Lepisosteus oculatus: one gene and its partner. The protein of the gene in region 1 binds, or shares a complex with, the protein of each later gene. Links are inferred from orthologs where the notes say so. Each region holds a gene or a part of one and is shown in the gene's direction. Other genes may lie near its edges.

The links.
Region 2: the proteins of uba3 (region 1) and ube2m are in contact, whole or in part, in a crystal structure (PDB 2NVU), measured with the Homo sapiens proteins. The link is inferred for Lepisosteus oculatus from reciprocal best matches to the Homo sapiens genes UBA3 and UBE2M. Residues at the interface, in NP_003959.3 of Homo sapiens: His53, Pro54, Asp55, Glu61, Ser62, Phe65, Cys70, Gln149, Asn152, Asp153, Thr154, Arg157, Gln158, Phe159, His160, Ile170, Arg173, Trp174, Ser181, Leu182, Leu183, Asn184, Pro192, Ile195, Val196, Pro197, Leu214, Met217, Arg254, Met255; in NP_003960.1 of Homo sapiens: Lys3, Leu4, Phe5, Ser6, Leu7, Lys8, Gln9, Gln10, Lys11, Lys12, Glu15, Lys21, Gly22, Ser23, Ser24, Lys25, Lys26, Ala27, Gln31, Leu32, Gln35, Lys36, Ile38, Asn39, Glu40, Phe51, Ser52, Asp53, Pro54, Asp55.

Annotation. Positions count from the first base shown.
Region 1 is NC_090699.1:50,385,610-50,397,027, reverse strand, and holds the start of uba3 (NEDD8-activating enzyme E1 catalytic subunit), read left to right. Parts: upstream 1-6,306; 5' UTR 6,307-6,340; coding exon 6,341-6,360; intron 6,361-6,478; coding exon 6,479-6,517; intron 6,518-7,663; coding exon 7,664-7,784; intron 7,785-8,348; coding exon 8,349-8,429; intron 8,430-9,040; coding exon 9,041-9,123; intron 9,124-9,990; coding exon 9,991-10,071; intron 10,072-10,265; coding exon 10,266-10,309; intron 10,310-10,638; coding exon 10,639-10,703; intron 10,704-11,258; coding exon 11,259-11,414; intron 11,415-11,418. Other genes in the region: arl6ip5a (ADP-ribosylation factor-like 6 interacting protein 5a), read right to left, coding at 4,183-4,361. UniProt on the Homo sapiens protein: Catalytic subunit of the dimeric UBA3-NAE1 E1 enzyme. E1 activates NEDD8 by first adenylating its C-terminal glycine residue with ATP, thereafter linking this residue to the side chain of the catalytic cysteine, yielding a NEDD8-UBA3 thioester and free AMP.
Region 2 is NC_090702.1:2,067,763-2,079,015, forward strand, and holds the start of ube2m (NEDD8-conjugating enzyme Ubc12), read left to right. Parts: upstream 1-6,206; 5' UTR 6,207-7,003; intron 7,004-7,152; 5' UTR 7,153-7,691; coding exon 7,692-7,806; intron 7,807-9,965; coding exon 9,966-10,060; intron 10,061-11,253. Other genes in the region: CD82 antigen-like, read left to right, coding at 535-618, 4,243-4,320.

The DNA of each region.
Region 1 (11,418 bases):
TTATTAAGGGGCGATATATTAAATTTGTACATTGTACCAGTAAGACACATGTTTCATTTTGATCACCACAATAACAACTAAGATATTGCTGCTCTGTTATCCACCCAGAGAAGAGAAACAAGGTCCATTATCAGGCTCAAACCACACTGCCAGGCTAAAGGAACTACATATGTTTAGCTCTGAACAGAGACACTATAAGGGGACTAGATTCAAGTATTCAATGTCCTCTGAGACATAGGCAAAATCAACCCAGTGGACAGCCATGTTGCTGAAGGTGATACCCTACTTCAAATCCCTACCTCACATCAATTAGCTACAACCTACCAAACAGACCAGACAGACCACAGAACTTATCAATTGTAACATTTTTAAGTCATGTTTTTGAAAACCAAATGATTTAGACTTGCCTCTTGTTATCTGTGAACTTTATGTTCTTATTATACCAGCTGCTATATCTCTCTGCAATGGGAAAGCTAAGGTTGCTGCTGGAAGAGGTGTTAGTGAGGCCAGTAGGGGGCATTCACCCTGTGGTCCGTGTGGGTCCTAATGCCCCAGTATAGTGACGGGGACACTCTACTGTAAAAAGGGGCATCTCGGATGAGATGTAAAACATCTGTAAAAAATGGCCTCCTAATAATCCCCATCTATGTATTGGCTTCTGCTCTCTCCTCCCCACTGACAGCTGGTGTGTGGTGAGTGTACTGGTGTACTTAGGCTGCCGTTGCATCATTCAGGTGAGGGCTACACACTGGTGTTGTAGGGGAGTCCCCATTACAAGTGCTTTAAGGAATTTATTATTATTGCATAGTGGCACAGTAGTTAGCACTGCTGCCTTGGAGTGCTGGGGTTTGATTGCTAGGCTATCTCTGTGGAGTTTGTATGTTCTCCCTATGTGGGCTTCCTCTAGGTGCTCCAGTTTCCTCCCACAGTCCAATAAGATACTGGTACTGTAGGTTAATTAGCCTCTGGTAAAGCCGGCCCTGGTGCAAGTGTGTGCTTGTGCCAGCGAGTGCCCTGTAGGGGACTGGTGTCCTGTTCAGGGTGTATCCTGTCTTGTGCCTGCTGCTTGCAGGGATAGGCTCTGGCTCCACCAGGATCCTGGATTGGATAAAGCAGTTAGAAAATGGATGGATGTTCTAATTACAGTACATTATGAACACTTAAGTGTAATTTGATTAAATATTAAATGAATAGCTTTAAAATACATAGCACTGCTGTGAGGTTTGAACATTACTGTTACTTAAGGTTTCTTACATGTCTCTTTTGAACTACATTTCCATTAGTGTGTATAATTGATTTCAGGGTAAAGATGATATGATAAAGCTTGAGCAGTCTTGTACATTCTCAAAAGCATCTACAACCTTTTTTGGCTATTTTTTACTATTTATAATGTGTTGCGTTATATCACTAAATATTGGTATTTGGTTTTGGTGTTGTTTCAATTCATACGTACAGTGCAGTGTAAAAGTATCCCGATTTTCTCCATGTTTGCAAAATTTTTACACTGAATGTTTTCAGGTCTTCAACCAAAATCTAATATTAGATAAAGGGTACCTGAGTGAACAAATAACACATTTTTTTTTACTTATTTCGTTTATTTAATGAACAATGTTATCCAACACCAAATTTCACTGTGTGAAAAATTGCTCCCTAGTTAAATCAACCCAATTAAAGAGATAATTTAGAGTCGGCTGATTGAATACAGCCACTGTATAAACCTCACTTACTGTATTTTGAGTCTTACCATCAGAGTCAAGTTGCCAGCACAAAGATTCAATAAGCATATTATGCCACGATCAAAGGAAATTCCTGAAGACATCAGAAAAAAGTCTGGAAAGGGTTACAAAGCCATTTCTAAGGCTCTGGGACTTCACCGAACCACAGTGAGAGCTATAATCTCCAAATGGAGAACACCTGGAACAGTAGTGAGTCTTCCCAGGAGGGCAAGCCTGCCAAACCTTCTCCAAGGGCACAGCATAAAATCATCCAAGAAGTCTCAAGGGATCCTAAAAAAACATCCAAAGAACTGCAGGCATCTCTTGCCTCAGCTAAGTTCAGTGTTCAACACTCCACAATCAGAAAGAGACTGATTCAAAAATGGGCAAAATGGGCAAAAATGGGCTTCATGGGAGAGTAGCAAGGCAGAAACCGCTGCTAACCAAGAAGAACATAAATGCTCATCTCTCATTTGCCAAGAAGCACCTGGATGAGCCCCAAGCCTTTTAGGAGAATGTTCTATGGGCAGATGAGTCAAAAGTGGAACTTTTTGGACAACATGGGTCCCACTATGTCTGGCATAAAGCAAACACAGCATTCCACAGTACGAACATCATACCAACAGTCAAACATGGTGGTGCTAGTGTGATGGTGTGGGGATGCTTTGCTGCCTCAGGACCTGGACGACTTGCCATAATTAAAGAGAAGTGTGAATTCGGCTCTGTATCAGAAAATTCTTAAGGAGAATGTCCAGTCATCCGTCCGTGAACTGAAGCTGAAGTGTAGTTGGGTCATGTAACAAGACAATGATCCAAATACAAAAGCAAGTCCACATCAGAATGGTTCAAAAGAAACTAAATTAAAGTTTTGGAGTGGCCATCAAAGTCCAGACCTAATCCCAATAGAGATGCTGTGGCAGGACCTGAAACAGACAGTTGATGCTGAAAAAAACCTACCAATGTTTCTGAATTAAAACAGTTCTGTAAGGAAGAGTGGGCTAAAATTGCTCCACAGCAATGTGAATGACTGATATTGAATTATAGGAAGTGTTTGGTTGCAGTTATTGCAGCTAAAGGTGGTGCAACCAGTCATTATTTACTTTTTTACTCACACAGGGGATATGGGTGTTGGATAACTGTGTTTATTAAATGAATGAAATAATAATAAAAAAAATGTTACTTGTTCACTCAGGTTCCCTTGATCAAATATTAGATTTTGTCTAAAGATCTGAAAACATCTAGTGTGACAAATATACAATAATAGAGGAAATTGTGGATATTTTTTCACGGCATTGTATATATTTACCTTTAAGGAGTATGTCCCTCTTTCCAGTGAATTAACAGTAGTATGTTTGGCAAGATAAAGGTAAAAGGTCGGAGATGTGTTGTTGATAGTAGCGTTTAGCATCATAAAATTATTTTAAAAAGTACTTCATTTTTATAGAAAAGTTAAAGAGAAGCCCCCGCCACCCTGAAATGGAAGAAGCGGTTATAAAATGGGCGGGCGACAGTTAACAGTAGCAAATAACCCCCCACATCTGGCTATTTTTATCGAGACGGTGCCGTCTTCCTCCTGTTTTACTGATACTTGCGATTCCAAGTTCCACACGGGACGAAAACTTAAAACATCTATGTTCTGTATGTTAAAGGACAGACAGAACTGTATGTTAAAGTATGATAAAAATATCATATGATAAATATCATGTACAGTACATTGTGGAACGCCCACACATCGTCTATTTGTTAAAAGTACTATTACGTTTTATGCCCGCATTGACAGCAAAACATTTCTACACACACTGACACGTATACAGATCTCTCTAATACATAATTGCATGTCAAACTAGGAAAATGGCAACTTTTGAACAAGTTGCACTGTTAATATACTGTTATTAGAAACGACGTTTCCAGTTCTATTGCTTTGCCTCAGACCTCGCATTCCTGAGCGCAGCCCCTGAAATCGACTGTGCCTATTACAAGGCATCATATAAATTATTACAATACTACCATTACACACACCCCAGCACTCTGTATAATGGATTGCATCAACAACTCTGTTTGCACGTCGCAAACTTTGAGCAAGGTGCAGGGTGTTGGAGGAACTTAAGTATCTCGGATGTCCTTTTCTGGACGAGCTGCACAACATTGAATTCCGCATCAGAACACTACAATTTTAAAGTTGTCGCATGGCCCTAAATTCGCATCCGGTTTAACATTCAAACCTGTCAATCAGAAATAGAACGCGTTAACAAATTTAACAGGCTCACTAATGTACAGTACTGTAATTACTGAACGCTAAAAATGTTCATAAACATTAAATTAAGAAACGCCGTGAAACAACCGTCTCAATTACAGCTGGCATCATAAAGAATCGTGCACAGAAGAAAAAAATGCAGTTTTGGAAAAGGGTGGGGAGAATATGACTAACAGCGGACTAAGTGTTGCCAAGTCTTCAAAGGCTACTTACCCAACGATCAAAAACACGACAATGGCCATTGCAAAGTAATTGGTCTGATAGTAGAGCAAATTGCTGACGACTCTGTTGTTCCATTTTGCTAAGTTACCCACGTCAGGTTTTGCAAAGCGATCTGAACCGGGAAGAAAGTCGTCCCAGGGTCTGAGCGGTGCGAGCTCCATCCCAGCCATGATCGCAGCGGCGGTGGCTTGCAGGCTTCTGGGCTGGAGCGAGCATCAGCTGGTGCGCTAACGTCACGGGGCTGAGTGGGCAGGGTTGTCTGGTTCTCGCGATAAACAAACCTGTGCATCTCATCCAGAAGATACAAGATGCCCAGCTTCTCTGTAATAATAATAATAATAATAATAATAATAATAATAATAATAATAATAATAATGCAAAATATTTAAACTGGCGGTGGGTTTTAGACAGTGTACTGAAAACTGCATTAATGAAGCAGACGTTTACGTTACCCGGAATTAAAAAGTAAAGATCACAAAGAATTAGGGTAAATGGTCTTTTATCAAAGTTGCTATGTTCTGTGCTATTGCCCATCCTGTACATTCTGCATACTGACTGCTGTAGGTCTTTTGAGAAAAAAACAGGTGTTTAAGTCTGCTCCTAGACATGGGCCTGAAATGGAGTATTTTGTTGACTGGTGTAACAACTCCTGTCTTCAACTTAATGTATCAAAAACCAAAGGCATGATCATTGATTAAGAAAACAACCACCAGCTGCGAAACCAAAAGTTATCGAAGGTCTGAAACTGAATAGTCATATATTACTCTTATCTTGGCACTAGTGTTAATTACAAACTAACCTTTGAGAAAAACACATGCCATATGTAAGAAGACTCCACTCTATTAATTTGGGTGCTACAACTATCACTTTATCCCAAGGAACTTTCATTGAATTTGCCCTGTTCTCTGTGGTAGATTGATTTGGTAACCTTAATAAACACAATAAAATCAGACTGAGCAGGACAGTGTAGCTAAGGTAGCCAACAACATAATTGGTGGATGACAGCTACAGCTGTCAGACAACCAGGGACGGATTTTGTTGTTTGTAGGCTCTAGGCACTTTCACGCCGAAATGTGCAAAAAGAGGAGTATATGCCAATTGAATTACGTTGATTTACATGATGCACTTTAAACTATTCTAATGCTAAACCACGTGATTGATGGAGCGAGTTGAGCGACCATCACTCGATACTTCTAGTTTCTAGAACAGCCGCTAGATAGCGTAAGATTATTGATTGGGAGCACGTAGAGTCGATCACAAGCATATTGTTTCAGCTCATTTTTCATTAGTCACTAGTGTTTTCCACCTTCGTAGGCACTAAAAAGATTATAGGCCCCAGGTACTGTGCCTACAGTGCCTTGTGCGAAATGCGGCACTGCAGACATCTACATCAGACAAATAGTGTGTCTATCATGGACTGTCATTACTACCCCTTGTATAGTGAATTTGAGCTCCTTCCATCTGGGGACTGATTTAGACTCAAATGCAATAGAACTACATTATCTTTTAATCCAATGGCTAATAACTTGCTTAATTTGGACAATTGATTGTATATTTTATTTTACTTATATATATATTTTCTTATTTATTTATGAATTCATGTTGTATTACTGTACCTTGTTGTTTTTTACCAGACCATGAAGCAAATTTTCCATCTGGGGCAATAACAGTAAGTATCTCAAGAGTTCTGTATCTTAGATTTCTTCTTTTATTTAAGGTGATCTCAGATGTTTTCATATACTGTACATTGTAAGGAAAGGCAGGGTAAGACAAGGTGTGGTTGCTAGATCTTCTGGGTTTTATTCCACACTGGAGTGACTTTTGTGTGGAGTTTGGTTGTTCTCATACTTTTATTTTTCCAAGTGGGTTGCTTTCCTGTCACCTTCCAAAAAAAGCTGTCTAGGTTGACTGGCGTCTCTAAAATGTTCACAGAACGTTTTATGTCACGTATGATCGGGGTGACGCGAACATTGCCAGCAACAAAAATCTTTCTGATGCCGTATAAATCTTGAACTGGTTGGTTGGGGCTGGACTGTTGGCTTGAATTGGCTTGAAAAATCTTTCCATTGTGCTGTTTCAAATCTCCCTCCCTCAAACAGCTGCAGCTCCTAACCACCGCGGCATTGTGGGAGGAGACGGAGCAGGAAATATGGCGGATGTGGAGGAACCGTAAGTATCCGTGAAAGGAGAGGACAGAGAGATCTGCAAATTAGTGCTCATAATCTCATGTATTACCTGCTGAAAAAAAGAGAACACGATTGAACCTTCTTTTATTCTCTCTTTTTAGGGAGAAGAAAAGAAGGAGAGTAGAAGAGCAGACTGAGAAGTTAGTACTGAAATGCTAAAAATATATAAACTGCCAGCAGGTTTGAGGTTACACAGCGCACGGAGTAGTAGAGCATTAATGTGAAAATTCTTTTTTCCATTCGTTGACTGACACATTAATGTTTTGTCTATAAAAGGACGGAAAATTGAAATATTCTAAAATTTACAGTCGATTATAGTAAGGCCTCAGGCTGCTCAAATGTATCGCAGTTTATAGTCACGCTTATAGTAACTAGTTACATGTTTTTAATAACGTGTTCATAAGGAATTTTCACATCTTAATGTTGCGCTCGTTTCTTATTTCGACTGCTATTTAATTAACTCCATTCTTTTATAGAAACATTGCATATAAATTAAAATTATACAATAGCTGTAATACAGGCCTCTACCGATTTCTAATTGTGTTGTTTGGTTACATTGTTTTGTAAACTTTCAAAAGGGAATATATTAAACATAACGTGCTTGTTTTATCAGGATTGTGATAACGATGTTTAGGCTGGAATAGTAACTGTTACACCCCAACAGTTGTTATTGTGAATAGCATGTCAACCAGTAATATATCTGGAGAATTAATCAAAACGTACCAGACAGATAATTATTTCTATTAATTAAAAAGATTCTTAACCCTATTTATTGATAAACGTTCTTCTGGCAAATTTAGTTTCCTCTTGGTAACAGTAATGTCTTAAACAGACTTTATACATAATAAATAAGTTAAACAAGCGTAATTATGGTCAAATACCATCTTATTACAACCTCTGTTGTATTTTGCCAAAAAAAAAATGTACCTTAGGTGTGGTTACTGTGCGATTGGTCAATGTATGTAGGTACTTAAAGCTACATATTCTGAAGTTATTTGTGTCTGAAAGGATAATATATATTTTTATTTATGATATACCTACATTGACATTTGAAGTATTAAAAAAATGGTACAATAGTACAAATAAAGGTACAAGTTTAGATGTTTGACCAACAATGTACTGCGTACTCAAAAGCTAACAATACCAGTTAGCCTGTAAGTTAAAGTCTTTGCACACGCTGCCAACTTTGGTATTGTGTTTTCAAACTACAGGCATTGTGAGCACAGCAGACACGCAAGTTGTTTTCCAACTGATGTTTGTAGCTGAGTTCCTTGTGTTCTGTGCAGAATGGCTGTGGATGGTGGGTGTGGGGACAATGGAGACTGGGCAGGTCGCTGGAGCCATGTCAAGAAGTTTCTCGAGCGCTCAGGACCATTTACACACCCCGATTTTGAACCAAGCACTGACGTGAGACAACTCCACTTTCTCCAGTTGTGTTTTGTACTGGGGGGGAAAGGAAAGCACAGCAAACGAACCCCCACAAGCTTTAAAATGTTGAATGTTTTGAATTACATTTCTTAGAAAATGCAGTTGACAGTTTTGCATGATTTCCATCACATAGTTTTAGTTCCACCTATACACATAAATTCTACAAATGGCTTCATACTGTATTATAAATACGATGCCATGAATTTAATACAAAAATGTTTGCTAACTCGGTACCAATTGATCATATAGTTGATATCAGTTGAAAAGCAGCCATTTAATTTACTAATAAAATAGTAAAAATCCAGTACACATTGTGGTCTTTATTTCAGACTCTACTTCTGTTTTACAATGTAACATGTTTAACATGGTAAAGTTAAAAGAAATCAACACTTAAAAGTGATATTTCCATTTTCAGTTTTAAAATACATTTTTACTCTTTTAATTATGGTCAGGTACATATTGTCACCTGTTCTTTTTAGTTCTGTATGCCATTTGTGTGCGTATTCATAGTAACTCTTTTCTGGTTTTGTGTTTTAACTATAGTCACTCCAGTTTTTATTGGACACATGCAAGATACTAGTCATTGGAGCTGGAGGGCTTGGATGTGAACTTCTTAAAAATCTGGTATGATGCTGATTCTTTTTTTTAAAAAAAACTTTAGATCAGTGTAAACTGGTGTGAAGTTAAGATCTTGTGTGTTTCAATGGGCAGTCAAATGCTTTGCATTGTTCTTAGGGTGAAAAAATGCAGGGAGCTTTGAACGCTTTGAATTTTTTTCATGATGATTGTTTTCTCCTTGATGCTTCTGTTCATGAAATATTTCATCTGGGAGCACAAATGTTTTAGAATGACTTCCTGAACTGCGAAATGCACGTATTAAAATGCTTCTTGTACATTTTTTCCATTTCATGAAGTCTTTTGCATGAATGTTCTTCACTTATAACCGGAAATTATGTTAAAATTATATTTAGAGAATAGGAAAGAAAGTTGAACAAAATGTACCTAACATTCACATACTTCAAACAGTAATTGTCAAATATCTGTGTTTGATAGATTGTTTCTCTTTCAGTATGAATGTCCACGTGCAGGAAAGTTTGGATGAAAACTGTTGTTTTACAATTTAAGCATTGTTGATTGCACTGTACTTTTTTTTGGAATAAGTGACTACTTAAATAAAACGCTGTTGGCATTTGTAAACCTTTTATTCAGATCACTTTTTACCATTATGTTATCAGGCCCTGTCTGGCTTTCGCCATATTCATGTAGTTGACATGGATACCATCGATGTCTCAAATCTGAACAGGCAATTTTTATTCAGGTGAGCTGTGTTTGTTAAGAGCTCTTTTCAGTTCACTGATATAGTGTATTTTCACAGTTAAATAAATCACACATTCCAGACACTCTCTGCTCTTGCTGGCTTCTGCACACTGAAATTGGACATGAAATTCCCATAAAAATCAACAAAATATTGGGAGAGGTGTTCCTGTCCCAACAAAATCAACAAATTGTTGGGTTTTGTCCTGCTTTATTATGACAATATTCTGGTTATTGCTTTTAGGTCTTGCCCTTTTCATCTATATGTTATTTGTGAATCAAGTAATTTACAGAGAAAATGACAGGGGAAAGCTACAGAGGTGCGGACATGTGAGCCCTGAGTGATAAGTTAATAACAGTTAAGAAGATGGCTAAGTACAGACGTCTTACCGACACGTTTTAAATTTTAAGCAATTTTAACACCTCTGTAGGTTGTCCAACAACTTTTCTCACATCTACATAGATGTTTTGCAAATTCACTTTGTGGTAGCTGGGCAGTATCATGTATTCGCTCATTGATCTCATTCCTCTGAATCGCTTTGTATTTTTACTATTAAGCTGATTTGTCCAAGTCCTCTTACTGTCATCAGCGCCATGTGGTGCACCATCTGTGCTGGTCTGCTGTGGCTGATGGGCACAGTGTAACGAGCACAAGTGGTATTTTTGTTCTAAAGTTAAGCATATTTTGGGTAGCAGACTGCAACTGTGGTTATTGCTAATGTTTTTTGACATGATGAAACAGAATATTATTGATAGCATCAGGTGTCTTCTGTCAGTCTCCTCCCTTTCAACTAAGTTGATGTTAGTGTAAAAATTCAGATTCTGATAGTTTTCCTACCTGAACATTTTTTGCCTCCCAACATTTCCTCAGACCTAAAGATGTGGGGAGGCCGAAAGCAGAAGTGGCGGCAGAATTTATCAACAGTCGTATTCCAAGCTGTGGTGTTGTGCCGTATCCTTTACTTTCAGTTACAGTATGCCCTGAACAAAAGGAGCAGGGTGCACAGAACTCGATTATGGTAAAGAAAGGAAACATTAGTTAATGCAGGGTGATCCTGTAAATATCAGTAATAGCAAAAATGTCATTTTTGCATAGTGTGTAAAAAATTAACTCAAACCTGTTTCTAATTTCTTAACAACATGCAGATATTTTAAAAAAATACAAGATTTTGATGATTCATTTTACAGACGTAAGTCTTTCATTGTTTGAACACCTTAATAAAGCTGTTGCAGATTATATATAAGGAGGGTTGCAGTTTTAAATACTGAGGTTTATGCTCCAAAAACAATTTTGCCATCAAAACGCATTTTCCATCGACTGTTATACATAAGGTACATACAAAAAGAAGATTGCAAGTCATTGTTACAGCAGGGAAAACATTCCTTTTTGGAACTGGTCTTAATCCTCTTTGTAAAAGCTTGATCTGAGTTTTACATGTTTTTCAATTTGTGATACTGAGATATCGGGAAAATATAAAAAATTGAGTCTCACTTCCAATACTTATTTGTGTTTCCTCAGAATTTCATATAATTGTATGCGGCCTGGATTCAATCATTGCAAGGAGGTGGATAAATGGCATGCTGGTATTTGTCAATTTTTCATCATCATTGAAAACATTTTCATATTTTTAATATTCACAACATTTAGTTGTACCTAGTATTATACTTTTTTTTTCCTGTGAATTTTGATCTTCAATTTGACCTCATGAGTCAGATGTGATTTAATTTTGGAATTTTAATTAGGCAGGCGACAGTGCCGTAATGGTTATCATTGCTGCTTATCAGCGCTGGGGCCCAAGGTTCAATTCCTGGAATGCTATCTGCTTGATGTTTTTTATGTTCTCATGTTCACGTGGGTTTCCTCCGGGTGCTCTGGTTTCCTCCCATAGTCCAAAGACATACTGGTAGATTAATTGGCTTCTGGGAAAATTGGCCTTGGCATCCCATCCAGGATATTTCCTGCCTTGCACCTGTTGCTTGCTGGGATAGGCTCTTCTGTGACCCTGTAGAACCTGACTGGTTAGATAAATGGGTGGAAGGATTTTAATGAAGCACACTGGAACCAGTACATAGTAGTAAAGATCTAATAAGTGAGATCTGTAAGTTTCAGTTGCTCAAAACTGTTTACCTTCTCTTCAGATGTCACTCTTAAGCTATGAAGATGGTGTTCTGGATCCTAGCACCATTATCCCTCTTATTGATGGGGGAACAGAAGGCTTCAAAGGCAATGCGCGTGTGATATTACCTGGAATGACAGCATGTATTGATTGCACACTTGAACTTTATCCACCACAGGTAC
Region 2 (11,253 bases), on another chromosome or scaffold:
TTGAGGATGATGAGAAAGAGAATGAGGGTGAGGATTGGGATAAGAAAGGATGAGATTGAGGATGATGAGAAAGAGGATGAGGGTGAGGATTGGGATAAGAAAGAGGATGAGATTGAGGATGATGAGAAAGAGGATGAGGGTGAGGATTGGGATAAGAAAGAGGATGAGATTGAGGATGAAGATGAGGATGATGAGGGTGAGGATTGGGATAAGAAGATGCGATTGAGGATGAAGATGAGGATGAAAAGAAAGGATGAGACTGAGGATGAGGACAAGAATGAGAATGAAGATGAGGCTGATGAGAAAGAGGATGAGGGTGAGGACGAGAACTAAGATGAAGATGAGATTGAGAATGATGCTGAGAATGAGGATAAGAATGAGGAAGAGGAGGAGGAGGACGAAGATTTCTGTGAGAATGAGGATGAGGATCAGAATGAAAGTGAGGAGGAGGATGACGATGAGAATGTGGAATGAAGATAAGGATAAGGAGAAGATGAGCGTCTACATTACAGTCGGTATACTCTCTCTTTCCAGGGCTGTAAGCTGGGCATTACAAATTGGCTGAAGCAGAACCTCACGCTGATCCTGGGAGTCTGTGCTGCTGTGGTCGCGGTGGAGGTGAGACAGCCCAGCGGACAGAAACACACAGGGGAGCAGGGGGGGATACAGGCGAGAGCAGGCCGAGAGATCGCTTGTGTCTGTTCAGAGCCCAGCTGCAGCAGACTTATCCTATAGGATACAGGCGAGAGCAGGCCGAGAGATCGCTTGTGTCTGTTCAGAGCCCAGCTGCAGCAGACTTATCCTATAGGATACAGGCGAGAGCAGGCCGAGAGATCGCTTGTGTCTGTTCAGAGCCCAGCTGCTGCAGAACTATCCTATAGGATACAGGCGAGAGCAGGCCGAGAGATCGCTTGTGTCTGTTCAGAGCCCAGCTGCTGCAGAACTATCCTATAGGATACAGGCGAGAGCAGGCCGAGAGATCGCTTGTGTCTGTTCAGAGCCCAGCTGCTGCAGACTTTTCCTATAGGATACAGGCGAGAGCAGGCCGAGAGATCGCTTGTGTCTGTTCAGAGCCCAGCTGCAGCAGACTTATCCTATAGGATACAGGCGAGAGCAGGCCGAGAGATCGCTTGTGTCTGTTCAGAGCCCAGCTGCTGCAGACTTATCCCAGAGGATACAGGTGAGAGCAGGCCGAGAGATCGCTTGTGTCTGTTCAGAGCCCAGCTGCTGCAGACTCATCCTATAGGATACAGGCGAGAGCAGGCCGAGAGATCGCTTGTGTCTGTTCAGAGCCCAGCTGCAGCAGACTTATCCTATAGGATACAGGCGAGAGCAGGCCGAGAGATCGCTTGTGTCTGTTCAGAGCCCAGCTGCTGCAGACTCATCCTATAGGATACAGGCGAGAGCAGGCCGAGAGATCGCTTGTGTCTGTTCAGAGCGCAGCTGCTGCAGACTTGTCCCAGAGGATACAGGCGAGAGCAGGCCGAGAGATCGCTTGTGTCTGTTCAGATCCCAGCTGCTACAATGGTGTGATAATGACTTTACTGTCATACAGTGGTGTGACTGGGGGGCATGCAGACTCATCGGAATCTGCGCTCCCCCTCGTTAACGGTAATGATGAGCAAAGGTGGTTGACGAGCACGACCTAGAGCCGTGATTAATAACATGGATTGATCACGCTGGAAAACCCGGAGCGGATCAGACTGGCGCACGACGAGATTGATAACGGATTGATATCGGATTGATCACACTGTAAAACCCGGACCGGATCAGACTGGCGCGCGACGAGATTGATAACGGATTGATAACACTGTAAAATCCGGAGCTGATCAGACTGGCGGGCGACGAGATTGATAACGGATTGATATCTGATCGATCATGCTGTAAAACCCGGAGCGGATCAGACTGGCGCGCGACGAGATTGATAACGGATTGATATCGGATTGATCACACTGTAAAACCCGGACCGGATCAGACTGGCGCGCGACGAGATTGATAACGGATTGATATCGGATTGATCACGCTGTAAAACCTGGAGCGGATCAGACTGGCGCGGGACGAGAATCGGATCGATCACGCTGTAAAACCCGGAGCGGATCAGACTGGCGCGCGACGAGAATCGGATCGATCGCGCTGGAAAACCCGGAGCGGATCAGACTGGCGCGGGACGAGAATCGGATCGATCACGCTGTAGAACCCGGAGCGGATCAGACTGGCGTGTAGTTGGATTCCAGTTAAGAACACTATGAAGCCTAGAGCAGACCACGCTGGTTTATAACGGGAGTCCGATTGATCCGCTCCAGGTTTTACAGTGTAATTAAGCTGGTGCTTACAATGAGAGCCTGACTGAAGACTTTGTAAAACCCGGGCTGGTCCGGACTGGATTGCCCTGGCGGTGGGATTTATACCAGGGGGGGAGAGGGGGTTTAAAACAGCCCCCAACCCCCCCCCCCTCTCTTTCAGTTCTGCCAGTGTGTCAGCCTGCTGGTGTTCATGTGTCTCTCTCTGTGTCGGCGCCCGGCTCCAGAGAACAGGCTCTTTCAGCCCTCCAGGTCTCAGTGTGCCAGTGTGTGCGTGCTCTGCCTCTCTGGCCACTCCAACTCTGGGGGCTGGGGGCTCTTCAAGAGCTCTGTAGCCCGTAAAGCCTGGAGTGGATCAGGCTGGCCTGCAGTGAGACTGTGATTAGAAGCACTTCAAGCCTCGAGAGAGGGTCACACAAAGGCATGCTTTGGAAATCTGATTACCTGCGGTGTAAAACCCGGAGTGGATCCGACTGGCATGCGATGGGAATCGGATTGATAACATTGTAAGACCCGGAGTGGATCAGACGGGTGTGTAGTTGGAATCCGATCAATAAACATTGCAAAACCTGGGGCAGATCACACTGGTTTATAATGGCAGTCCGATCGATCCACCCCAGGTTTTACAGTGTTATGAAACCGGTGCTTACAATGAGCTGCTGATTGGTGACGTTGCAAAAGCCGGGATCAGGCTGGTTTGCAATAGGAATTTGATGAGTAATGTTGTAAAACCTGGAGTGGATCGGATTGGAGTGCAGTCGAATTGTGATTAAGCACAGTGTGATTGTGGTGGAGTGGACTGGTGTGATGTCATAATTTGTGCCTACATATGCCGCTTGCTGCATGCAGTGTGTGTAATATCCATAACATTATGTTTATAATGGTTCACTACATATTTGTGTGCTTGGAGTAGTTCTGAGGTCGGTGTTGTGTAGTGTTGTCTTGTTTTCCATGGCTCTGATTGTGACTTTGATCTCTTTGTCTCTCTCTGCATCACAGAGATTTTTATGTTGAGTATTGGCAAGGTAAAACAGACTGTCCCTCTCTCACTGCATTAACCCCTCTCTCAGTGCAGTGTTAATGTACTGGAGTGTCCAGTCAGTGTGTCTGTATTAACCCCTCTCTCTCTCAGTGCAGTGTTAATGTACTGGAGTGTCCAGTCAGTGTGTCTGTATGAACCCTCTCTCTCTCAGTGCAGTGTTAATGTACTGGAGTGTCCAGTCAGTGTGTCTGTATTAACTCCTCTCTCTCAGTGCAGTGTTAATGTACTGGAGTGTCCAGTCAGTGTGTCTGTATTAACCCCTCTCTCTCTCAGTGCAGTGTTAATGTACTGGAGTGTCCAGTCAGTGTGTCTGTATTAACCCCTCTCTCTCAGTGCAGTGTTAATGTACTGGAGTGTCCAGTCAGTGTGTCTGTATTAACTCCTCTCTCTCAGTGCAGTGTTAATGTACTGGAGTGTCCAGTCAGTGTGTCTGTATGAACCCCTCTCTCTCTCAGTGCAGTGTTAATGTACTGGAGTGTCCAGTCAGTGTGTCTGTATGAACCCCTCTCTCTCTCAGTGCAGTGTTAATGTACTGGAGTGTCCAGTCAGTGTGTCTGTATTAACCCCTCTCTCTCAGTGCAGTGTTAATGTACTGGAGTGTCCAGTCAGTGTGTCTGTATTAACCCCTCTCTCTCTCAGTGCAGTGTTAATGTACTGGAGTGTCCAGTCAGTGTGTCTGTATTAACCCCTCTCTCTCTCAGTGTAGTGTTAATGTACTGGAGTGTCCAGTCAGTGTGTCTGTATGAACCCCTCTCTCTCTCAGTGCAGTGTTAATGTACTGGAGTGTCCAGTCAGTGTGTCTGTATTAACTCCTCTCTCTCAGTGCAGTGTTAATGTACTGGAGTGTCCAGTCAGTGTGTCTGTATTAACCCCTCTCTCTCTCTCTCTTTCTCTCTCTAGCTCTTTGGTATGATCCTTTCGATGTATCTGTATAGGCAGTTCAAGCTGGACTACGATAAACTGACTCGCTTCTCCTGAGCCCTTTTGATGCTGAAGTATCCCAGTATTCCCGGAGTCTCTCCCACCCCATCCCTGAATCCTGCAGTGTTATTGGACTCATCCGCTTGAATGATGAATTCCAAGTGCAATTCCTCACCACGAAGAGCAGGAACAACATTTTCTTATTTGTACTATAATTTTAAGATGTTTTCATTCTTAAATATTTTTTGCTGTTGAGTTGTTTTTTTATGATTTTTTCTTTGATGTTTTGTATACATTTGAGAATGATGGCCTTTGTAATATGTGTGTAAACAGATGTATATTTAAACCAATGTACCTATTTTTGAATTAAATGACTGGTCCCGTCTCCTGCTGTTCTTTGGGGTTTGGTTTAATATGCAGAGCAATGATGTTTTAGGGAAGTTGTAGAAATAGGGTCGTGTTTGTCCTTCAATACTGAGAAAGAAACTGACATCCTACATTCACTGTAGTCTGATTAAAGTCGCAGTTCATAACCAGTCCAGTCAGTCCAGTCCAGCCTGGAGAGTCTCAGACTGCTCTGTCAGTGTCAGTGGAGTCTGATTATAATCCCAGTTCATAACTAATCCAGCTCCCAGTCCAGTCAGTCCAGTCCAGCCTGGAGAGTCTCAGACTGCTCTGTCAGTGTCAGTGGAGTCTGATTATAATCCCAGTTCATAACTAATCCAGCTCCCAGTCCAGTCCAGCCTGGAGAGTCTCAGACTGCTCTGTCAGTGTCAGTGGAGTCTGATTATAATCCCAGTTCATAACCAATCCAGCTCACAGTAAAGTAAATCCAGTACAATTTTAAATGAAGATAAGGACTTGTATTAATAATAATAATAATAATAATAATAATTACTTACACTTATATAGCGCTTTTCTGGACACTCCACTCAAAGCGCTTTACAGGTAATGGGGATCCCCTCCACCCCCACCAGTGTGCAGCCCCACCTGGATGATGCGACGGCAGCCATAGTGCGCCAGAACGCTCACCACACATCAGCTATTAGTGGGGAGGAGAGCAGAGAGTAATGAAGCCAATTCATAGATGGGGATTATTAGGAGGCCATGATTGGTTAAGGCCAATGGGAAATTTGGCCAGGACGCCGGGGTTACACCCCTACTCTTGTCGAGAAACACCCTGGGATTTTTAATGACCACAGAGAGTCAGGACCTCGGTTTTACGTCTCATCCGAAGGACGGCACCTGTTTACAGTATAGTGTCCCCATCACTATACTGGGGCATTAGGACCCACGTGGACCACAGGGTGAGCGCCCCCTGCTGGCCCCACTAACACCTCTTCCAGCAGCAACCTTAGTTTTATTTCTGTCTCCTATGGGAAAACACAAAACTTAGTACCAACACCCATAACTACAGAAATATGTTGGTACCAGCGACTGGCTACAGGAAAATATGAACTACATAGGTGGATACTTCACACTGGTGGCGGTAGTGGGATTCCCTATTACCTGTAAAGCGCTTTGAGTGGAGTGTAAACTGTATACGTGGAAGCAATTATTATTATTGTTAATTTACTTGTGTGCATATTTCAATTATTTCCTTTCTAGCCGCGGCGCCCTGCCGAATGATGTATATCACCGCGTTGATCGGGAGGAAATAGAGGAGAGAGCCCTCGGAAGAGTTTTTTCAGTCGGGACCTGCGCAGTGCGGCGCCGGACGGCGGGTGACGCAGGCCGCCCCGTGACGTCAGACGCCGAGGCGGCGCGCGCCGTGTCCCAGGCTGCACTGCGCGGAAAAGGGGGCCTAGTTCGCTCTGTTTTGAATCCGGCCGATCGTGTCTTGCGGTGGAAAAAAAAACAGGGGAAGGGAAGGGGGAAGAATACGGACGTTTGAGTATTATTCTTCGTCAGGCTAGCAGAAGGAGGAGAAGACGATATCCGTGTCCGTCTCGGAGGCGAACACGGCGGGGGTCTTGAACCTACAGCCGGCTTGCTCGGGTCTGCGTAACCGCTGCTGCTACCAAACCGTCAGCCTGTAGTTTTGTAAAAAAAAAAAATGTTTTAATTAAATATAGTTGAACAAAAATCGCCTTTCTTGCCGTTAAAACCGCGGGGTTTTTTTTTTTGGGGCAGCGGATAGGAAGGGGGGAGACTTCACTCGCGTCCGCCCGCCCGGGTCGACCAGAAAAAAACAAAACGGTTTTTTTTTCCTCCACCACCACCACCAGCAAGTTTAAATACAAATAACCTGCAGATTTCACAGCCGCGGGTGTCCTGCTGCCGTCGCCCCTGGCTTTGCGGGACGAAGATGGGACGGAGGGAGAGCTAGCGGGGATGCGGTTTCCCTCTCCTCCCCTCTCCCCTCCTACCCTGATCTCTGCTCTTGGGGCGCCAGCAACACAATAATAATAATCATCATCATCATCATCATCAACATCATAATAATTACTACCAGCGCGGAGGAGAGAAGACGCGACAGCACGCCCGACTGTGTGTCTCCCCCTCAACCCTCACCCGTGGAGTCTGGATAACGAGCCGGCGATTGAGGAAGGACTGCCCTCCCCACCCCCCGGCGGATAGATAGATAGAGATAAATGATTTAAAACCGCCCAGTTTCGGGGGGTTTCGATTGCAAACAAATTTTTTTTTTTAAAAAAAAAAGCTAAGAAGACGTTGGGGGGCAGATCCGAGCCCGGAGACTCAAGACGGCGCAGCGGAGCCGCAGAAGGGAGATAAAGAGGTTTGTTGGCGCAGGGAGAGGGTGGGTGGGGGTAAATAAAAGCCAATTCATTCGTTTTTATAACCCTCTATCTGCTGTTTTTGCGTGGCACCCCACAGCAACCTCTCTCTCTCTCTCTCTCCCCGTTTCTCTCCCCCTCGCCCATCAAGTACGGCGTCTTCTTCCTGACGGCCTTCGCCGAACACCGGCTGCCGGAGCCCGGCCCAGCCCAGCCCAGCGCACACAGGCCCGGCCAGGCCTCGGATCCGAGCCCTGCCCCCCGAGAGGGACAGCCCGACACCCGCCAACGAAATTAAAAAAAAAAATAATAAACCAGCGAGGAGAGGGCGAGCGTGCAGTTCAGTGCCCGCCGCCTGAGATCCCTCCTGCCTCTGTTGGGGGGGGTTTCCTTCTGGGGGTGCGCTGTGTCCCCGGCACCCCGCAATTTTCCAGGCGGCTCACGGAAGGAGAGACGAGGAGGGAGAGAAGGGTCCTGCTTTCTGCTAAGCCCCTCCTGACCCCCCTCCGCCCCCATAACCCGAGACGAAGCTAAGTGAAAGAATTTGCTCGCAGGCGACCCAAGACTACCACCGCCTTCCCTTCCTCCTCCTCCTCCTCCTCTTCCTCTCCCCCACCCCCGGAACCAGAACCGCCGGCAGCCGCAAGAGCAGGAGCGACACGGGGCTCCTCCTCCTCCTCCGCGGGCAAGATGATCAAGTTGTTCTCGCTGAAGCAGCAGAAGAAGGACGAGGAGTCGGCCGGGGGCAACCGGGCCGGGGCCGGGGGCAAGAAGGCCAGCGCGGCCCAGCTGCGCATCCAGAAAGGTGCGCACCCACCGTGGGGGGAGAGACGGGTGGGCTCGGGTGGTGGTGGTGGTGGTGGGGGGGAACTGGGGGAAACTCCGCTTGTTTTGAGGGGAGGCGAGGCGAGGCCCCCCTGCTCCCCGCGGCCTTGCTGGGGCGACTCCGTTCCCCGAGAGCGCGAAGCCCCGGTCTCGAGTAGGGGAGCCAGGCCGGGTCCGGGGTCCTCCAGTGGCGGCCGCGCACAGGCGCGGAGTCCCGCCGGCTTTCTCTCTCTCTCTCTCTCGCTGCGTCACCCAGCCGGGGGGTTTCATGCGTTTAGACCGACTAGTCTGCACACACACACACAAAAAAAACTTTTTTAAAAGCCAAGCAGCCCTGACCCTCACCCCGCGTGTCTTTTTTTAGCGTCCTTGCTTCTTGTGTTGTGCGGGATGAGGTTGGCTTCTCCTGGTTTTGTTGTTTTGCGTGGGGACTGTGTAGCTGTGTGGGAACAGGTGCTGCTGAGGTTTGTATACGCTGGAGAGAGAGAAAGGGTCATCTGCCACACGGGATGGGGGTGGGTTACAGAATAACTGACCCCAAAATAGGGGGGTCGGTGTGAACTGGCTTCGTCACTCTGTTCTCCCTGTCCCTGCTGGTCGGTGGTGTGGTGAGAGTACTGGCGCTCACCCTGCGGTCTGTGTGGGTCCTCATGCCCCAGTATAGTGACGGGGACACTAGACTGTAAACAGGCGCCGTCCTTCAGATGAGATGTCAAACCGAGGTCCTGACTCTCTGGGGTCATTAACAATCCCGGGGTGTCTCTCGACAAGAGTAGGGGTGTTACCCCAGTGTCCTGGCCAAATTCCCCCCCTGGCCTTTACCCCATCATGGCCTCCTAATAACCCCCCTCTCTGAACTGGCTCCATCCCTCTGCTCTCCTCCCCACTGAGAGCTGGTGTGTGGGAGAGGACTGGAGCATCATCCAGGTGGGGCTGCACACTGGTGGGGGTGGAGGGGATCCCCAGTACCTGTAAAGCGCTTTGAGTGGAGGGTCCAGACAGGGGCTGTATGAGTGTCAGGACTTGATTCTGATTGACTTTGTCCCTTGTCCCGCAGGGGTGCCCTCCGCTGGTGGCAACCCGGCCGGTGTCTGCGTGGGCCCGTAGGAGCTCAGTTTTGGGGGGGTTAGGGTTACAGTCCCTCCAGTGCCTGGGGGGTACACGCAGAGAGAGCAGGCCGGGCTCCAGGGACGGTCTGTTCTCGCTGATGAACTGTAAAGTGTTTCGCATTGGGGCGCTGTGGAGCGATAGCAGGGGGATGAGGGTTCATTTCGGATTGAGGACCCCAACGTTCCCACTGGAGCCTCCTCGGGTTGGATATTGGGGCGGCCGGGGCGGGGGGGGGGTCCCCTTAGTCGATCTCGGGGTCTCGTCCCCAGGGTTCCGGTTCGGGAGTGACCCTTGGGCTTTGGGAAGGTTTTCGAATCCCATCCTGACCTCGCGGGTCTCCTTTGCTCAGAACCCCGAAGATGGGGCTCTTGTAGCCCAGGGGTTCCCAGTCCCAGTCTTGGGGGACCCCAGTACCCGCTGGCTCCCCCTCCACCTGAGCTCTTGATGGGTGTAAAGCGAACTCTTCTGTTACCTTCAGGTCCTGGAGGTGTTAGGGTGGCCTTTCGGCTGTCGTGCTTCATTAGTAATAATAATTGCTTACACTTATATAGCGCTTTTCTGGACCCTCCACTCAAAGCGCTTTACAGGTAATGGGGATCCCCTCCACCCCCACCAGTGTGCAGCCCCACCTGGATGATGCAACGGCAGCCATAGTGCGCCAGAACGCCCCCCACACACCAGCTAACTTCATCGTGGGCCATAGTCACTTCATCTCCAGCCTTGAAGCCTTTAAGTCGTAGCAGTGGTAGCAAAACTTCATTTTATCTATATACATATAGCGCCTCTTAAAGGTGGCTTCTCGAAGGAGAAGAAAAGCCCACCAGAGGTTCTGATCGAACTGCCCCGTTAATTGGTTCAATTAAGGATTCGTTGAAGTGACCAGCCTGGTGGCAGGGGTGTGGGGTGTGGGGGGCGGTGGGGGTCCCCCTGCCCTCATCGACGCGGTTTCGGCGGCCTTCTTATTCCGACGCGTTCCACCCCGCTCACCGGCACGTCCGCAGGATAACCCCCCCCACTGTCTTCCCACAGATATCAATGAGCTCAACCTCCCGAAGACGTGCGAGATCGTCTTCCCGGACCAGGACGACCTGCTGAACTTCAAGCTCGTCATCTCGCCCGACGAGGTGAGGGAGCCGGCCTGTCCCGGGCCTGTCCGCTGGGTGGGGGGGTTTGGGTTTGTCGTGCTCCGCCGCTGCCCCTCCTCCGCCCCGTGATTTTTTTTTTGTTTGTTTTGAACGGCGCCCCGTCTGCCTCGCTGCGTCATCCCCTTCGACGCCGTGGCGGTAAAGACGGGTCGCGGGCGCGAGGCGGCGCTCCGGCCTGATAGTCCCGTCCGGGTCGCCGGTAGTTAATCGGTCCCCGGATCTCATCCGGCTGCGAACGAGAGGAGCCAGGGTATCGGCTTCAGCCACGTGGCTGGGCAGCTTGTTCCCCACCCCCACCACCCTCTGTGTAAGCGGCTGCCTCCTGTAAAGACTGGAGGGTCTCGCCCAGCTGTGTTGAGAGTGAAGCCAGGCGTCAGCAACAGGGCTGGGCAGCTTGTTCCCCACTCCCACCACCCTTAATGTAAAGAAGTCCCCCCCGTCCTGACTGGAGGAGCTCGCCCAGCTGTGTCTGGAGAGAAGCCAGGGTATCGACCTCAACCACAGGGCTGGGCAGCTTGTTCCCCACCCCCACCCCCCTCTGTGTACAGAAGAGCCTCCTGTCCCGACTGGAGGAGCTCACCCAGCTGTGTCTGGAGAGGAGCCAGGGTATCGGCTTCAACCACAGGGCTGGGCAGCTTGTTCCCCACCCCCACCCCCCTCTGTGTACAGAAGAGCCTCCTGTCCCGACTGGAGGAGCTCACCCAGCTGTGTCTGGAGAGAAGCCAGGGTATCGGCTTCAACCACAGGGCTGGGCAGCTTGTTCCCCACCCCCACCACCCTATGTGTAAAGTAAATTAGAGGGACTGTTCAGCCCATCTGGTTTCGCTGGTAGTTAATAGCCAATCAATTCAAGGGTCTTATCGGGCGGTTTGTTCGGCTTGTTCCACCCGCCCTCCCGCTTCTTTTGTAAAGAACTGGCTACTGTCCTGACTGGAGGATCTCCTCCAGCTGTGTCTTGAAAGAAAGCAGGACATCGGTTTCAACCAGCTTGTTCCGCCACCCTCCCACCGCCCTCTGTGTAAAGAAACAGCTGGCCGAGATCCTCCGGTCGAAATGCCATGAACTACCCGACGGGGCAGGATGCCTCGCGTTTGCCCCCCTTTCTTGCCTTCAAATCTGAGTCACAGTAGCCTCGATCAATTACTGGGGACTTTTACAAAACAGATATACAC